Linked DNA regions of Rattus norvegicus. The protein of the gene in region 1 purifies or fractionates together with the protein of each later gene. This does not show direct contact. Links are inferred from orthologs where the notes say so. Each region holds a gene or a part of one and is shown on either strand. Other genes may lie near its edges.

Evidence for each region.
Region 2: the proteins of Dld (region 1) and Dlst purify together in Homo sapiens (affinity purification with mass spectrometry; 3 studies listed by BioGRID and IntAct, counting the BioPlex papers as one, with this or other methods). This does not show direct contact. The link is inferred for Rattus norvegicus from reciprocal best matches to the Homo sapiens genes DLD and DLST.
Region 3: the proteins of Dld (region 1) and Pdhb purify together in Homo sapiens (affinity purification with mass spectrometry; 3 studies listed by BioGRID and IntAct, counting the BioPlex papers as one, with this or other methods). This does not show direct contact. The link is inferred for Rattus norvegicus from reciprocal best matches to the Homo sapiens genes DLD and PDHB.
Region 4: the proteins of Dld (region 1) and Ogdh purify together in Homo sapiens (affinity purification with mass spectrometry; 3 studies listed by BioGRID and IntAct, counting the BioPlex papers as one, with this or other methods). This does not show direct contact. The link is inferred for Rattus norvegicus from reciprocal best matches to the Homo sapiens genes DLD and OGDH.

Annotation. Positions count from the first base shown.
Region 1 is NC_086024.1:53,638,439-53,643,078, reverse strand, and holds part of Dld (dihydrolipoyl dehydrogenase, mitochondrial precursor), read left to right. Parts: intron 1-230; coding exon 231-331; intron 332-705; coding exon 706-849; intron 850-1,552; coding exon 1,553-1,654; intron 1,655-1,755; exon of another isoform or gene 1,756-3,387; intron 3,388-3,508; exon of another isoform or gene 3,509-4,312; coding exon 4,313-4,503; intron 4,504-4,640. UniProt on the Homo sapiens protein: Lipoamide dehydrogenase is a component of the glycine cleavage system as well as an E3 component of three alpha-ketoacid dehydrogenase complexes (pyruvate-, alpha-ketoglutarate-, and branched-chain amino acid-dehydrogenase complex).
Region 2 is NC_086024.1:110,495,797-110,500,436, forward strand, and holds part of Dlst (dihydrolipoyllysine-residue succinyltransferase component of 2-oxoglutarate dehydrogenase complex, mitochondrial), read left to right. Parts: intron 1-1,314; coding exon 1,315-1,370; intron 1,371-1,497; coding exon 1,498-1,572; intron 1,573-1,773; coding exon 1,774-1,829; intron 1,830-2,209; coding exon 2,210-2,321; intron 2,322-4,640. UniProt on the Homo sapiens protein: Dihydrolipoamide succinyltransferase (E2) component of the 2-oxoglutarate dehydrogenase complex. The 2-oxoglutarate dehydrogenase complex catalyzes the overall conversion of 2-oxoglutarate to succinyl-CoA and CO(2).
Region 3 is NC_086033.1:19,185,380-19,189,962, forward strand, and holds the end of Pdhb (pyruvate dehydrogenase E1 component subunit beta, mitochondrial precursor), read left to right. Parts: coding exon 1-235; intron 236-567; coding exon 568-678; intron 679-927; coding exon 928-1,019; intron 1,020-2,445; coding exon 2,446-2,587; intron 2,588-2,826; coding exon 2,827-2,972; 3' UTR 2,973-3,352; downstream 3,353-4,583. UniProt on the Homo sapiens protein: The pyruvate dehydrogenase complex catalyzes the overall conversion of pyruvate to acetyl-CoA and CO(2), and thereby links the glycolytic pathway to the tricarboxylic cycle.
Region 4 is NC_086032.1:85,405,122-85,409,761, reverse strand, and holds part of Ogdh (2-oxoglutarate dehydrogenase complex component E1 precursor), read right to left. Parts: intron 1,951-4,640; coding exon 1,796-1,950; intron 1,579-1,795; coding exon 1,432-1,578; intron 801-1,431; coding exon 710-800; intron 230-709; coding exon 50-229; intron 1-49. UniProt on the Homo sapiens protein: 2-oxoglutarate dehydrogenase (E1o) component of the 2-oxoglutarate dehydrogenase complex (OGDHC). Participates in the first step, rate limiting for the overall conversion of 2-oxoglutarate to succinyl-CoA and CO(2) catalyzed by the whole OGDHC.

The DNA of each region.
Region 1 (4,640 bases):
CTGTATTTTTGGCACAGATGCACATTTAACCGTGCTTGATAATTTCTGTTACCGTGACCTGATGATGTGGCTTTGCTGGGTGTGGCTATGACAGTCACTAAGTTTTAGAAGTTAATGCTATCTTTTTCATAGTTTTATCAACATTGAGATGAATATTTTCAGATCTTGGTAACTATCACATATTACTCTCAGAGTTTAAATAATAAAAAGACTTATTTAACAAATTACAGTACCAGAAGTTCGCTTGAATTTAGAGAAGATGATGGAGCAGAAGCGTTCTGCAGTAAAAGCATTAACAGGGGGAATTGCCCACTTATTCAAACAAAATAAGGTTGGTGTTCAGTGCTCAGATTTCTGTTTTATTTTACATATACATGAAATAGTTGTTTTGTGCTAATAGCCATATTTTATGATCTTGGCCTGCTGTGGGATATTGACTTAATTTAAAATAGTACTAAAACATTTAAAAAGTAATGTAATGCATTTATTATTATACAAACCCTACAAAGAGTAAAAGCCAAAAGAAAATCCAAAATAACACTACCCTGAGAAACAGATGTCCCTGAGATAGTATTTTGACTGCTACATGCATTGTATATTTTAAAGGAAACATTTCATGTTCTGTGTTACCTAGAGTATTGTTCCTGTTACTCTTATCAGAAAAACATTTAAACATTGTGAATTTGTAAATATTGCTTTATAAAGGTTGTTCATGTCAATGGATTTGGAAAGATAACTGGCAAGAATCAGGTTACAGCTACAACGGCCGATGGCAGCACTCAGGTTATTGGTACCAAAAACATCCTTATAGCTACGGGCTCAGAAGTTACTCCTTTTCCCGGAATCACGGTATTTATGCTTTCTAATTCATCTCTTACAACCTTCCTTATAAAACAGGGTTTTATAAATTTATCCTGTTTATCAATGTTGACTAAAACACTAATTTGGCAGCCATTTATCATTGCAGTTATTTCTCATTATTTTGCAGTGATTATGATAAGATATAGAACACTTTATAATATATTTGAGTTCACATTAAGGTAAGCTAGGCACGGTGGTGAGTGTCTGTAATCCCAGGATTTGGGAAGCAGAAGCAGGAAGTTTGTTATACGGTCAGTGGTTAACAGGTTTGGAGCCAGGACTGCACAGGAAGACTGTCTCAGAAAAAGCTGGTGAGAGCCGGGCTGATAAAGTACTTGCTGTCCACCTGTGTGAGCACTGGGCATGGTGGGATGGACCTGTACTCCTAGCACAGCTGCTGAAGGATGGCTAAGGTTGACTTTGTGCTTCCACACATGTAAACACATATACACACTTACACAACAACAGTAAAACACAACATAACACAGAGTTAAAATTAACCATTTTAATTTGGAAGGTCGAATGGTAAAATTTCAGAGTAGCATTTTGAGTGAGAGCTAAAGAAATTGTGATATATCTATAGATAACATTAAGCAAATAAATGACATAAAATTTTATTGGATAAGACCAAAATAATAACACACTAGGTTTCCACAAGTAATTCTGATTGTTGTTTTTTCTTTTTTTATAGATTGATGAAGACACTATAGTGTCGTCTACGGGAGCTTTATCCTTAAAAAAAGTTCCAGAGAAGTTGGTTGTTATTGGTGCAGGAGTAATCGGTGTGGAATTGGTTAAGTGTGATCTTCCTTTTATTGCTGCTGTGGGGTTGAAAGGGACTTAAAACTCTTCTTGGAGGCCAGAAAGATAGCTCAATGGTTAGCAGCAGTACTGTTTTATCAGGGGACTCAGGTTCAGTTCCCAGCACCCATATCAAACTTCTCCGAATCACCTGAGCCCCAGGAGCTCGCCACCTGTACCCACATACCCGTCACATACCCACATGCTGCAAAGAAGTAAAGAGAATCTCTCTTTGAAAAAAGAGACAAGATTGAGACAGTTTCAGGTAGTATGTAAAAAGGAGAGATAGCTCAGTGCCTAAGAGTACTGGCTGCTCTTGCAGAGGACCAGGTAAAGTTCCCAGCACCCACAGTGATTTTCAACGCTCCATAGCTCCAGTTCTAGGGAGTCTGTACCCTCTTCTGGCTCTGAGGACACCAGGCATGTACATGGTGCCCAGACTCCATCAGACGAACACCCATCTATATAAAATAGAAATAAGTCTTAAAGCAAAAAAAAATTAAAATAAAAATTGGTCTTAAAGCAAAACAAAACAAAAACCCTACTTGTATTACATGATTTTTTTGTGTAACATTTCAGGTCAGTCAGTATTGAGTTCTGCTTAAGTCTTACAGCAATAACAAATACATCTTTTCTTCCAACATAACATATTTAGGTAAATCATTAGTCTTTAGTATGCCCTTTGTTTTATAGTCTGCTACAAGGTTCTTGTTAAAGTCACAGCCCTCGTCATGAACCTCAGCCTGGCTGAAGACCTTTATTTCCCTAGCTGAGTACTGGTCTCTTCCAGGGCTGCTTAACTCCCCACTCACATTCTACCTGACTGGTACGGTGTCTCTCCTCTCCTCACGTGGAGCTTCCTGAGGAACAAGCAGGAGAAAGCATGGACTGGACAGGACTCCCTTGCCTCGTGCTCATGCTTCAGATTTGAAAGTACCTTTGCCTCACAAGTCTTCTTTTGTTCTCCCTGCTATGGGGAGAATATCATTTTCCCTAAGAGTAATGTCTTCACCTACTGTCACTTTATAGCATGTTCGTCTGCCATCACAGTGACTTAGTTCTGTGATGTTTGTTTCTTTTCTTTAAACTCATCTGCTTTCTACCTGCTGTTCTCCCACTCCCTTTTTTTGAGAGAAGGTCTCATACAGCCCTGACTGGCTTAGGACTGGCTATGTAGATTAGATTGGCCTTGAACTTGCAGCAGTCCTCCTGCCTCTGCCACCTAAGCTCCTGTTTATTTTCCTTGTGATTTATAGTTGAACATGCCTGTTTATACCTCGGTGTCTCACATGTTCAGGTGCATTTCCTTACAGACACATGCTTATATTTATGTCAGTAAGCCTTGTGTGAGCCTTTTCCAAGTTACTAATTTCCTTCTTTCTTTTTTCCATCTTATGCTGGATTTACATATACCTTCTGAGTTACCTTTTTTTTTTAAATTGCATATTCAGATTTCTTTCTTTTATTGAGAATTTCTTACACGCTATTATTTTTATAACATCCACCCTCCATTCTTTCCACTCCAGATTTTCCCCTCTCCCTCCTACCACTTTCCCCTGTCACCTTCATATGTTCTCTCTTTTAACTCAGAGTCCATTTAGTGCTGTGTGCATGTGCATGGGGGTAGTGCTATTTACTGGAGCATGGGTAGTTTTTTTGGTACTCTATTCCTGAAGAAAATTTACCTCCCCAGCACATCAATTGCTAGTACCTTCTCATCTAGAGGTGGGACTTTCTTTTTTTTTTTTTTTTTTTTGGTTCTTTTTTTCGGAGCTGGGGACCGAACCCAGGGCCTTGCGCTTCCTAGGTAAGCGCTCTACCACTGAGCTAAATCCCCAGCCCCGAGGTGGGACTTTCTTAGTCCCTCCCTGTCCTTGCTAAGATATTGGTGGTCTTAATCTTGTACAGATCTTACACACGCAGTCACAGCCACTATAGGTTCCTAGTGTGCGGTAGCCCTGTCGTGCCCAGCAAATACTGTCTGTCTGCTGCCTGTGGCTCTTACAGTCTTCCTGCCCCAGTTTCTGCAGTGACTCCTGAGCCCTGGGGAAGGGACATGCTATAGATTAAGAGTTGGGTACTCCATAGCCTCTCATGTTTTCTGAATACTGACCTTTTGTGTTTCTGTATTAGTTACTGTCTACTGCACAAAGAGGCTTCTGGGATGAAGCCAGTGCAAGATCAACATCATACTTCTTTAATCTTAGGACCCTTGTACTTCTCCTCTGCCTTAGACACTCTCGTCTCAGTCACTGCTGTAGTTGGTTTTCTTCACTCCCACGTAAATGTTACTTAGACGGAAGCCTGCAATCATGCTATCTCAGATGGCCCTGGATCTGTTTTCTCCTCTTTCTTATAGCATTTTGTTATCTTCCAGCATGAAGTTTATATATTGTTGACTTCCTCTACCATATTGTAAAGTTTCCAGGGACACACAATTTTGTTTAATAACAGGCCTAATGGTTATAGTGGGCCTGGTTATAGTAGGTAAATGTGGAATAGATGAATGAATAATAGATAATCTTAAATGAGTTTCCTTTTAAACACTAGAGCTTCCCCTAAACATTTGCAAAAGAAGACAATGTTTGAGGTAATTAGTGAATGTTGCTATGGAAACTTAATGTTTTTTTTTCTTAAAAATTAATTTTAGGGTTCAGTTTGGCAAAGACTTGGTGCAGATGTGACAGCGGTTGAATTTTTGGGTCATGTGGGTGGAATTGGAATCGACATGGAGATATCTAAAAATTTTCAACGTATTCTTCAAAAGCAAGGATTTAAGTTTAAGCTGAATACAAAAGTTACTGGTGCCACCAAGAAGTCAGATGGAAAAATTGATGTGTCGTAAGTATGATGCGTTTGTTTTTGGCAAGCCATCCTTGCTTTCAGATTAGCAAATGTAGTCTAGACTTTTTATAACTTAGAGTCATCTTAATGCTGTGTATTACACAGTATTGCCTATCAAATTAGCCAGTTAAAAT
Region 2 (4,640 bases), about 57 Mb from region 1:
TCAAAGCATGAGCCACCACTGCCCAGCAGTAAATATTTTATCCTTGTCTTCTACACATTGAACACCTCCTCCAAGACAGAGCCAACACCAGCTTCCTAGGCGTCTGTCAGAACAACCCCTTCTTTTCCACATTAGCATTAGTCTTTGCCCATGGACATATGTTTTTATTACATTCTAATAGTGTATACAAACTTTATACACAGCATTCTGTGTTCTATATTTTTGTATTGTTCCCCTTGATACTACACATATACATTTTAAAGTTATCCTGACATAAAAGAAAAAAGGCCAAAAGGCAATTGAGTCTACTTATGTAGTGTAAAGACATTCTAGTGAGGTATAATGCCTCATGCCTTTAATCCCAGCACTGGGGAGGTAGAGGCAGCGCAGATCTCTGAGTTTGAGGCCAGTCTAATCTACAGATTGAGTTCCAGGACAGCCAGGGCTACGTAGTGGTACTTAGTCTCGAAAAACAAAACAAATAAAACCTGTTGAGATCCCCTAAATCCTGTGTAAGAAGCACATTTTCATCAGTTTAACTCATTCCCTAAATAGTATAAATAACCACTGAATGACAGACAGCCTTAGTAACCGGGTGGATCAATATCTTCACTCCCCAGAAGCAACTTAATAAGTCTGCACACAGGCGATCGTTACTGGCTTCCAGCTTATACTGTCCCAGGTTCTAACGGCCTGGTTTTGAAGTTCCTTTGCAGCGAGTCCAGGGAGGGCAGATATGCTGCCTTTTACAAGGGAATGTTATAGGAAATACCACGTAGCTGGCTCTTTTTGGTTTTTGTTCTGCTTTGCTTTGTTTTGGTTTTCGTTGCTGTTTTTAATTTTGGGGGGGGGGGGATGGCCTAAAACTCTGCTTTTTGCATCTGAGTTTACTGTCATTTTGCTGCCTTATCTAAATTTAGTCCTGAGGATAGTAACACATTTGTATTTGGCATATCTGTGTGGTGCTGAGGTTTTGGTTAAAGAAACCTAATCAGGAAGAAACATCATTTGGTTTAGTTTGCAAAGGACCAAGATTCTTTTTACTTAGTAGAACCGCCGTGTCTCACTCTTGAGAGGTGACATTTCACTATAGTACTGAGCACTGTTTAAGGCACCTAGGTCACCATGCTTTGGTCCTACTTCTGAGTTAGAATGTGTCCAGGTCTGCCCTGACCTGTGTGCTTTGACAAGATGCCCTGCGTGAGAGTCTGCTTAAGATTCACCAGTTTAAAGAGGTAACCCTTGTACCTGGAGTAGACTGAAATATTAGTGGTTCATGATCTAAAAGAGTTAACATTTATGTTTCTTTTGTAGCATTAACAACAGTAGCGTCTTCAGTGTTCGCTTCTTCCAAACCACGGCAGTGTGCAGTTAAGTACCTGATTTCTTGTGAATGGACTTTTACTGGAAAGAGAAACAATTGACTGAGTTTATCAAAGAAAACCATTAAAAAGACAGAATGGGCACTTATGGTTTTCCTGTTTTGTTTTTCCCTAGAGAATGATGTGATTACAGTCCAGACCCCAGCGTTTGCAGAGTCTGTCACAGAGGGAGATGTCAGGTGGGAGAAAGGTAAGATTTTATTTCCTCTCATTTAAGTTAAAAAACGAAGGTCTCCTCATGAACCACAACAAGTGGAAACTGTGGCTCCACCATTTCTTTACACACGTATCTACTTCCTCCCAGTCTTGTAGGAAAGCGATCTTTTAACACAGTGGGCTCAAAGGGGACCAGAGGCTCCTGGCTAACAGGTGTCCTTTGACTGTCTTTCAGCTGTTGGAGATGCAGTTGCAGAAGATGAAGTGGTGTGTGAGATTGAGACAGACAAGGTGGGCTTATCCTAAAGACTTACTACAGCCTAATTTTAATTATTCCCTTGGTACTTAGTATGCACACTAGTAACTTTAATCGGCAGCTACTTTGTTTTCTTTGTGGTTCCTGGGCTGCTTTCCGTCTTCTTCCTTGTATCACTTGGAAGCATAGTAACTAAAGTATGTGTTAGCATTTCTAAGAAAGGACAGAAGGTGAACCCTCTCATAGCAATGACTCTCTTTTCTGACTGAAATGTGGCCTTATAAATGTGGCCTTAGGTGTTTCTGTGTGTGGAGAAGTGATATCCAGGTGTAAGGGAGCTGGAACTCCCACTGCTCATCCTGCTTGACTGATGCTGATACAAATGTGAATCCGTCTCTGTCTCTTTCTTTTCCAGACTTCTGTGCAGGTTCCATCACCAGCAAATGGCATCATTGAAGCTCTTTTGGTACCCGATGGGGGCAAAGTTGAAGGAGGAACTCCTCTATTCACACTCAGGAAAACCGGTGGTAAAGAAGTTTTTCTGGTGGTCAAGGTCTCCAGTGTTTCCTGGTGGGGTTGAGGCTGAGCATACTGTCCTAGCAACTCCCCTTGCCTCAGACTGGTGTCCTAGTTACACCTTTAGTTGAGGGATAGGAGAAATCCCGTTGACATGTATGGTGAACTTTTAATTGTCAAGTTCTAAGCCAACAGGGTAATTGAAAAACCCACAATACTCTGTTCTTCTCCTATTTCTTAGATTAGATCTTTTTCTTAAAGAACTAACAGAAGTCAGGAATCTGAAGAGAGAAATTTTCCTCCCATCGACCTGGATCACATGAAGCTTTAAAAAAATACAAATGGGGGTTGGGGATTTAGCTCAGTGGTAGAGCGCTCGAGCGCAAGGCCCTGGGTTCAGTTCCCAGCTCCAGGAAAAAAGAAAAAAAAATACAAATGAAAAGGCTTAGCTCCTGAGAGTTGTGATTTATCTCCTCACTATAACAGTTGGATCCTTGTTAGTTTTGTAGCATTCCCCTAAGTGATTCTGACATGCAGTCAGGCTTGAGAGCCACTGTTGAAAAGTGAGAATTACAATTTTATGGTGTGTGTTGTGGACAATTGAGTAGTTTCCTTTTTTAACAGTTACATTTGTGTGTGTGTCTGTGTGTGTGTGTGTGTGTGTGTGTGTGTGTATCTGTGTCTCTGTGTGTTTCTGTGTGTCTCTGTGTGTGTGTCTGTGTGTGTGGGGGGGGGGAGTGTATACAAAGGCATGCATGTGGAGATCAGTGGATAACTGGACAGTCAGTTTCTCTTCCTGTCATGTAGGCACTAGGGCTTGAACTCAGGTTGTCAGACTTGGTATCCTGTGTCTCTACCACTGAATCCTCTCCTTTCCGTGTAGTTTCTTCTCACATGTAACTTCTTAGGAAAATTGACATTTCTCTTTGGAAGATGTCTGTACTCGACTTTATAGTCAATATTAGAGATTAGAAAATCTGCTTTTCTGACTTGTAACTGAAGATTTTTCGTAGTTAGAGCATTTTACTATTAAAATAGTCAAGCAGAAAGATGGTAGATTGACCATTGAGGTTGGTCAGGGCAAGAGTAAGTTCAAAGAAAGGGGGAAGAACGTAAAGTAGCCAGGAAGAAGGAATCTGTCATTATGCATGCTGGGAACTGAACTCAGGTTCCTGTGGGAGCAATATGTACTATGGGCCCCTGAGCCATCTTTCTGGACCCCAAAATAACATTTTTATGAAATGCTCATTTAAGATTAAAGAGTTCAAAGGCTGGAGAGATGGCTCAGTGGTTCATAGTAGACACTGCTCTTTCAGAGGACCAGGTTCACTTCCTGGTGCCATCTGGCATCTCATAATTGACTGAATAAAACTCCAGCACCACGGGTTCCAGTGAGCCTCTCCAGGTACCTGAATGCGCAGACCCTCATATAGATACACACTGATACATAGTTAATAATAATTATTTAATTGATTTATTTAAAATATTCTTTTTTTTTTTTTTTTTTTTTTTTGGTTCTTTTTTTCGGAGCTGGGGACTGAACCCAGGGCCTTGCGCTTCCTAGGTAAGCGCTCTACCACTGAGCTAAATCCCCAGCCCCTACAATAAACATTCTTTTAAGAATTATTTATTTTATGTATCTGAGTACACTATAGCTATCTTCAGACACACCAGAAGAGGCCATCGGATCCATCTGGTGTCAACAGCTGGTTGTCAGTGTTAACTGCTGAGCCATCTCTCCAGCCCTCCTCCCCCTTTTTTAAAATTTCGAATGGTTAAGAGTATTCCTTTTGCCTGGTGGTAGCAGTGCACACCATTGATCCAGCATTCGGGAGGCAGAGTCAGGTGGATCTCTGTGAGTTTGAGACCAACTTGGTCTACCGAGAGTTCCAGGACAGCCAGAGCTACACAGAGAAACCCTGTCTTGAAAAACAAAACAAAAAGAGTATTTCTTGAACATGTTATGTTAAAATAGAAGATGATTAGCAGTGTGTCACATATATGTGTACATTTTCATTTAAACATGTTAAAACATTTTAATTTGCTTTAAACTGTGGTTCTCGAGCTGGTTGCAACCCCTTTGTAGTTTTTGGGTTTTTTTGTTTTTTTTTTTTACACTTTTCCTTTTTTCTTTTTTTCAGAGCTGGGGATCGAACCCAGGGCCTTGCGCTTGCTAGGCAAGCACTCTACCACTGAACTAAATCCCCAACCCTACCCCTTTGAAGTTTTAATGACCCTTTCACAAGGGTCATCTAAAAACTTCTGCATATCAGATATCCATATTATGATTCATGATAGTAGGAAGATGACAGTTATAAAGTAGCAATGAA
Region 3 (4,583 bases), on another chromosome or scaffold:
GCTATTGACCAGGTCATAAACTCAGCTGCCAAGACGTACTATATGTCTGCTGGCCTCCAGCCGGTGCCCATAGTGTTCAGGGGGCCCAACGGCGCCTCAGCGGGCGTGGCTGCTCAGCACTCGCAATGCTTCGCTGCGTGGTATGGGCACTGCCCCGGTTTGAAAGTGGTCAGCCCCTGGAATTCCGAGGATGCGAAAGGACTTATTAAATCGGCCATTCGTGATGATAATCCAGGTAACTCCTGCTTCTCTTGAACAGTGAAAGAGCTGACATGAACCATACAAGGAACCATCGAGGCCATCTAGTGAGGCTTAGATATAGCATATGTATAACGTATAAATGATTTATAGACACAAAGATAGTCAAAAATGTAGGGCCAGTTCTTTACTGCATACCTGCACATTTGGCTTAACCTCTACCGACCAGACTGTGTATAAACCATCCTGATGCTTCTAGGTGAGACAGAAACCAGGCTTCTTATTCATAAGATGAGTGGTTTTGTGGTATGTGCATTCATAGTCATTCTGCCTGTACTTTGTTGTTTGAGAGCTTATACTGTCTTGCAGTGGTGATGCTAGAGAATGAACTGATGTATGGAGTTGCATTTGAACTTCCCACAGAAGCTCAATCAAAAGATTTCCTGATTCCTATTGGAAAAGCCAAAATTGAAAGGCAAGGTAAGGACACCTTGGTATTCATGAATTGTTTTTACTGTAGCCCTTTTGTTTGCAAAGGTTAGAAGTTACTGCTATGGAGTTTGACTTGAAAAGTAAAGAATGAATGAGCTCATTGAGTCTCTCTGGTAGGTTTGATTTCATGTCCATGAACACAGCCTCACTGTGCAGCTCACTGAAGTAAGCTGCACGATTGATAAGACTAGCTGTGGCTCCTTACAGCATCGCTAATCTGTGACTGCTTTATTTCAGGGACCCACATCACTGTAGTTGCCCATTCAAGACCAGTGGGCCACTGCCTAGAAGCTGCAGCTGTATTGTCTAAGGAGGGAATTGAATGTGAGGTAAGTGGACTTTCACTGCCCCAACCCCTCACAAATCAGAAAGTCTCCTTTAAGATCCAAGACTGATGAGTTGGCTTAGCAGGTAAAATTGCTGACAATCTTAGGTTTGATTCCCAAGAGCCATAGAGAGAACCAACTCCTGAAAGTTGTCGTCTGCCATCTCCCCCACTTATGCCACCGCATGCTTTCTTTTAAGATTTATTTTCTTACTATGTGTACAGCATGCAGGCCGGAACAGACACAGATCTCACTGTAGGTGGTTATGAGTCACCATGTGGTTGCTGGGATTTGAACTCAGGACCTCTGGAAGAGCAGCCAGTGCTTTTAACCACTGAGCCACCTCTCCAGCCTTTGAATTCTTTGTTTTTTCAAGACAAGATTTCTCTGTGTAGTCCTGGCTGTCTTAGAACTGGGGCTGACTTTGAACTCGAGGTCCACCTGCCTGAGTACTGGGATTAAAGGCATGTGTCGCCACACCCAGCTACAGTGCATGCTTCTGTATGCTACTACACACTCACTGCACTATGTCCAGAAGCTATGAATGGTGATTCATGCCTGTAATCCCAAGACTCAGAAGATAAGTAGAATCATGGTTGCCAGGCCACCTTGAGCTTTGTCATCAGTCTGTCTCTGCTTTCAGCCAAAAGTGGTGGTTGTTTAACCACATAAACTCTGGATCTTTTAAATCCCTACTCTCTCAAGTTATGATCTAATCTTGTTAGGCTGGGGAAATGGCTCATCCAGTAAAGGCTTGCTCTGTAAGCATGAAGACCTGAGTTGGAGCCCTAGCACCCACATAAAAACCAAACCAGAACAAACAAGTCAGGTATGGCAGCATGGGCTTACTACCCAGCACTGGGGAGACCGAGCTAGGAGGACCCCTTGGGCAGTGAGACCAAACTGGAGGGCATCTCTTCTGATTATCTAATCTGTACAACTTAAGTAGCTTTCCTTGGAAAGTATCACTGCTTCATAGGCTGTAGAAATGTGGTAACAGGGATTCTCCTCCATCCTGGGGTATCTGGGTGTAGACCTGGTGCATATTAAGCACTCAACTATATATTGTGATAAGAGGGATATTGAAACCAAGGAGGATAAGTGAATCCTCTAGGTGAGCAAAGCTTCCTGTGATTGGTTGCAAGCTTCTGTTTTAATTGTAAATTCCCCTTTTACTTTTGTTTGAGACAAGATCTCACTGTGTAGCCAACACTGTCCATACTCACACTTGGGGCCATCCTGCCTTAGCCTCCTAAGCAGTGAGCTTACAGGTATGCGGTCGTCATACCTGTACATTTGTGTGCCTTTGACAGATACATTCAAATTTTCTTAGATCCAAAGATTAACAGAAACAAAACGTGGTGTTTTTGGGTCAAGGCTGTATTTGTCTCCTAGATTGTATAAAGACTATTTCCAGCCTTGTCTTTAGGTAATAAATCTGCGGACCATCAGACCAATGGACATTGAAGCTATAGAAGCCAGTGTCATGAAGACAAATCATCTCGTAACTGTGGAAGGAGGCTGGCCACAATTTGGAGTAGGAGCTGAGATTTGTGCGAGAATTATGGAAGGTATTTCAAAGAACCTGGTTTTAGAACATAATCAAGCTATAGTGAGCACTCAACACTTGAATACCAATGAGAAAGAGATCAAAAGCTAGAGATGACCAAGTGACTTTTCAACTTGTCAGTCTAGGGTTTCGTCTTTGGGTAAATGTTTTAAAAAGTCAGGCCAAAAGTGAGCCCTATAACTAGGATACATTACCTTGTTTTCTCTTGCTGAGTCCCCAGTCTGCTTCTCTCTTCCCTAGGCCCTGCATTCAACTTCCTTGATGCGCCTGCTGTTCGAGTCACTGGTGCTGATGTCCCTATGCCTTACGCAAAGATTCTAGAAGACAACTCCATACCTCAGGTCAAAGACATCATATTTGCAATAAAGAAGACTTTGAATATCTAATCTAGACGTTGAATGTCAAGTCAGTGAAATTTATTTAAAATACGTGTTGGGACTTCCCCTGACGTGTACTGGGAGACTTACTAGTCAGGAGTTAATGCTGATGTGGCAGCAGGTGTCTCTGTACTGGTAAGAAGTTTAAATGTGCTTATGAGTAGAATTTTTCTACTCCCTACCCTAGATGCTCTGCTCTCTTTGTCTGTTACTGTTAAGTTGGTCTAGTCTTTGAATAAGATTAATATAAAAATTTGCCCTCTTTCATTAGAAGGGGCAAGATAGAATGCCCCCATGGAAGATAACTTATATGTCTAAATAAAACATATATTATCTACATTTGCTGTTAAACTGTTTTGATAAGGAATAAAGGGGATTCCTACCTATGAGTAATTGCGTTTTTATGTTCATATAGTGTATGTGAACTATTAAGAAATTAGTATCAGGGGCTGGAGAGATGGCTTGGAGGTTAAGAGCACTGACTGCTCTTCCAGAGATCCTGAGTTCAAATCCCAGCAACACATGGTGGCTCACAACCATCTGTAATGAGATCTGATGTCTTCTGGTGTGTCTGAAGACAGCTACAGTGTACTATAAATAAATAAATAAATAAATACATAATAAATAAATCTTTAAAAAAAAAAAGAAATTAGTATCAGGCTGGGTGGTGGTGGCATGTGCCTTTAGTGCCAGCACTTGGGAGTGAGCCACAGGAGGCAGAGGCAGGTAGATAGATTTCTGAGTTCAAGGCCAACCTGGAGTACATTGTGAGTTCCAGGACAGCCAGGGCTACCCTGAGAAACCCTACCTTGAAAAACTACATACATACATACATACATACGTGTCAAATAACTAATATGCTGCATATCATATCTGTAGATTCTGTAGTTTTTTAGAGGATTTCACTGTGTCTTTGGCTAGCCCAGAACTCAGGATCTCACAGATCCCCCTGCCTCTGCCTTTAGAGAGCTGGCATTAAAGGTGTGTGAGGCCCCACCTTGTCCAAATTGAAGCCTTTTACTTCCAGGGCCATGGGCATGTCAGCCAGGGCCCTACTACTGAACATCATCCCTAGACTCTGACTGTTGCATTTATTTATGTCTCTAACATCGCTCAAACAGCAGAGCTGAAAGCAAAAGCTCTCAGGCCCAGGTTCCCACCAGCGACTGTCACTGGTCCACACTGCACCTAATAGCCCAGGTTCCCACCAGCGACTGCCACTGGTCCACACTGCACCTAATAGCCCAGGTTCCCACCAGCAACTGTCATTGGTCCACACTGCACCTAATAGTCCAGGTTCCCACCAGCGACTGTCATTGGTCCACACTGCACCTAATAGCCCAGGTTCCCACAAGCGACTGCCACTGGTCCACACTGCACCTAATAGCTGAGGCAGGCAGGGTCTATGGAGCCCAAATTGGCCTCAGACTGATTATGTGGTAGAGGATGACCCTCCTCCCTGTATCTCAAGTGCTACTGGACGGTGACAGATCAGGGCTTCCTCTATCCCGGTGAGACTCCTCACACCCAGTAAAGGGCTCCTTTTAAAGTTAAAGATTTACGTCAGGTTCTCCTCCACATTGCCAGAACCCATATATTCTGTCATCTATGAGCCTCTTT
Region 4 (4,640 bases), on another chromosome or scaffold:
AGGAAGCCATGGGACGACACCTGTGCTCATAGACCTCTTAGGGCCTCACCTTTTTCCCTTCAGTGTCTCCACAGTAGAACTGTTCAGCTTTGGTCTTTCCCATCACTACAGGGTCAGCAGCCTCTAAGTGGGAAGGGTTAGCCACCAAGGACAGAGTGATGTTTCTGTCGGTCACACGGTTGATCCTTCGGTGATACATGCCCAGGTGGTACTTCATGTCCCCGGAACCCTGAAGATAAAAATGAGAAGTGATGCCAGGCAGTGGTGCACACGCCTTTAGGCCCAGTGCTTGGGAGGCAGAGACAGATGGATCTTTGAGTTTGAGGTCAGCCTGGTCTACATGTTCCAAGACAGCCAGGACAAACAGAAAATAAAAAGACAAGTGATATTGGTTGGAGAGGTTCATTCTCAATGGCAGTACCCATGGGACTTTGACTCCTAGGACCTAACTGTGGAAGGATGGGGAGGCTCTCCCCAATATTATACCTCCCATGCACAAATATAGAGTTACTTGGGCAGAAGGAATATTGTTGCCCCAGCAGGAGGAATATAAGGCTTCACGGTAGAGGAGGTTGGCCAATTCTGATAAGGAAGGCAAACTGTAAATGGTGTGTAAGAGCAAAGCTTCAATTAAGACATTCTGAGAAACCTGGGAGTCTCAAGCAGGCTGAGACGACTGTAGCGGACATTCCTCCTCACAGAAGCTCACCTCATCAGCTGCCTCCAGCTTCGAGTCAAACTGACAGAATATCTGCTCCAGCTCCTTCCTGATGACATTGGCTAGCACGTTCAGTCGTCCTCTGGGACACAGGGAACACTGAGTAAGTTCCAGGGGAAAGCTGCTCCACCCTGCCCCTACCCAGGACACAGCAGCATCTCCTTGGTTTATAGCCCAAGAATGTTGTGATTCAAAGTTGATGTGGACACCAACTCTCTGGCTGTTGGGCATGCAGAGCCATAGCACACAGACAAGAGAAAGGCAGAAAGTACAGAACTACGAGCCCAGCTCCCCGTCTCTCCCAGATCTCAGAGAGCAGTCATTGTTACAAGTGAGACAGCAGCAATGGCACTGGGTTTACTTATGAGACATACTTTTATTCTGTAGTAAAAGCTAGTTTAGAACTTACTGTAGCCCAACATGGACTTCAAATTTGTGATTTTCCTGCCCTAGCCTCTCAAGAACTGAGATTATAGGCACATACTACCATGCCCACCTGGATTTAATTTTAACAAAACTCCTATAGAATGAAATACAAGTGTAATTATATTTGGCTCTGAGACTGACTTTGTAGTCATCCCGACGTGGGAGTGTAAGGGCCTTGGAAAGCAACACATCCTAATACACTCAGGCATTCTCAGATCTCTAGCTGCCACTCCATGCAGGAGCAACAGGGCCTTCTGTCCCTTCCAGGCTCTAAGGGTCTGAAGTACCTGTGTGGCATCCCCATGATCACATAGTCCACTCCATTTGCACTTGACATGTCAATGATTGTCTTGAGGGCAGGGATCAGCACCTCACAGCCTTCCAGACCAAAACGCTTCTCAGAGGACCACTTTCGCTGCAGGAACTCCTCAAACCTGGATGGAGAATCAGTCAACTTGAAGAGCGATGCCTACAGGCCCAGCCTCAGTATAAGCATTCTCCAATGACAAGAGGGTACAATGGAGGCCAACTTTATTCGCCTGGCCAAACCTATCACATACTTGTCGATACAGCCATTCCCATGCCTGGAGGACAGGCGACCAACACCCCATAAGTGGGCCTGGGAGCCCATGGCCCGACCACATGCTTTACCTGGTGGACCGTACAAGCCTGGCCAGCAGGGTCCGCTTCTCCTCATTGGTGAACTGCATGATCCCAGGGGTCTCAAACTTCTGCCGGATCCACTGGCATTGCTCCAAATCGTTAATGAACATGAACTCCACACCAATGTGCTGGCAGTAGGCCATCTGTCCACATATATACAGGGACACAAGAGTCAATGATGAACATAAACTATTCCAGTGTGTCAGCAATAAGCCATCTACCTGTCCACTGCCCTCCATACTGGCAAGGGTATGTTTAACCCAGCCACACTGTGTGAAGATTACCACTGCCCTTTTATTCAGGCCAGGGAGAAGCAAACTTCCTTTTTCCAGCCAAGGTGCTCTGACAGAAGGCAGAAATCAAGTTGTAATCCTCCTGCCGTGGCCTCCCTCGTGCCAGGATAAGCCACACTTAGCTTCTGAGGTCCTTCTAACATAGCCATAACCTTTTCTTAGGACTGGGAACCTGAGGGGTAAGAGGCCAGGCTAATGAACAACAGGTTCATTATTTTCACAGAGGTAGTGAAGACCATGCCAGCTTTTGGACTGGATCCTTTTCTAAGAAAGGTAGGCTGACTTTACAGTATGTCCACCATCCATGAAAAGAAAAGCTAGTGAGCTTGGTGGTTACTTAAAGACTTAAAACCTTTTAACCTCAACTTTCTAATAACGGACTCCTCTGGAAACTTCAGGTCTGAAGAACGGGACAGCTCAGGGAAAAGGACATGACTTCTTTTCTGAGACTGTATAGCTTGGGCTAGCTTCAAACTCACTACGTAGACCAATTTGGCTTCGAACTCACAGAGACTCACTTATCTCTGCCTACCAAATGCTTGGATTAAAGGTATTCATCCCAATAATTTAATAATAATAATGATAATGATGGTGGTGGCATGTGACACCATGCCTGGGTAAAAGCACAGGTCTTGAATAGACCCAATAAGTCTTGAATCACACCTGAGGAAGGAGGTAGCGGTCAGTTCTGCAAAGGTGGAGACCAGCAATAGAGCTGGCTCTTATGGAAAGGAAGTTAAGAAGAGAAGAGAAATAGCCTATACAACTGGAGGGATCTTGTAAGTTCCCCTCAGGGATGCCTAACTCCGGTATTCTCGCACACTCACGCTCCTTGCTGAGCCTTTACCACTTACACAACTAGATTGGAGGCCCAGACCACAGGTGCGCAAGCCAGGAGCGCACTGAACTAGCAAAGGCAACAGCAGACCCTCCACCCCAGCCGTCTTCAGAGCCAGAATCCGAACACAAGCCCAGGGACTCCATCTGGTTTAGACAATGAGGTCAGCTGGCACTGGTAGTTAAAGGCTTGTTGAATTTATGGTCAGGTGTCTGTCCTTTGAACAATAAAACAGACTTTTCCTGAACTTCTGTTCACAATATACTACAGCTTTTGTAGCCAAAAGAAAAATCAAATTGCTGGAAAGACTTTTGAAATTAAAGGTGTTTTTTTTTAATATTTATTTATTTAATGTACACAAGTACACTATATCTGTCTTCAGACACACCAGAAGAGGGCATTAGATCCCATTACAGATGGTTGTGAGCCATCATGTGGTTGCTGGGAATTGAACTCACGACCTCGGGAAGAGCAGTCAGTGCTCTTAACCACTGAGCCAATTCTCCAGCCCCGAAATTAAAGGTTTTAATCAATCTACATGACATTTCTTTTTCCTTTTAGTTTTTCTGAGACAGGGTCTCACTATGTAGGCTTGGTACTTTGCTATTAGACCAAGCTGGCCTCAAGCAGAGATTGTTCTGCTTCTACCTCCCCAGAACTGATGATGTAGCATCTAAGATAATAAGCCTTAGAACTGCTAAGTCAGATTGAGCTACCCTTAGCTTCACAGCTTCACCAATCTATTGTCATGTCTCAGTTCTGCACATGACCAGCAAAATAAGGTGTGCTTCTGTATAACTCAGCCCCAGAGAGGCTATTAACACCAAGTGTCCCACAGGTTCTTCCTGCTACACCAACAACGGGCTTCTCTGCCTCTCACTGCCATGTGGCCTGCTGCTGGGGTAATGCTGAGGACAGAAGACTTCCCTTGGTCACTACTGAGCTGACCCCTGCACAGTCGTCTGTTGCCCAGAGCCATCCATTATGCCCTTTAAGTCCACTAGGCAGAACTTCCATCACTGAACAACTAAAAGCTCAGAGAAAACTACTGAGTCAAAGCCTCCAAACATCAACATTCTCCCTAATTTGTCAGCATTACTTCAGAAATGCAGTTAGACATCTTGTACCGGCTGGTTTTGTGTGTCAACTTGACACAAGCTGAAGTTATCACAGAGAAACGACCTTCAGTTGAGGAAATGCCTCCATGAGACCCAGTTGTAAGGCATTGTCTCAATTAGTGATCCAGTGGGGAGGACCCAGCCCATTGTGGGTGGTGCTGTCCCTGGGCTGGTGGTCTTGGGTTCTATAAGAGAGCAAGCTGAGCAAGCCAGGGGAAGCAAGCCAGTGAGTAACATCCCTCCACGGCCTCTGCATCAGCTCCTGCTTCCTGCCCCGTGGGAGTTCCAGTCCTGACTTCCTTTGGTGAGGAACAGCAATGTGGAAGTGTAAGCTGAATAAACCCTTTCCTCCCCAACTTCTTGGTCATGATGTTTGTGCAGGAATAGAAACCCTGACTAAGACAGATCTGGACAGTAGATAACGTTTTTGTTCCCTCTGTCCTTGGCTCAGTTCTCAGGAGAACTCAATTTGTTTTGGAAAGTTGTGTAAGTTTTGGGAAGTTATGTGAGTTTTGGGAGCTCTTAGCTTTCTGCTCTAATGAAACTAGTTTAAGGAGGTTGAGAAGTGCTACTTCTAATGTTTT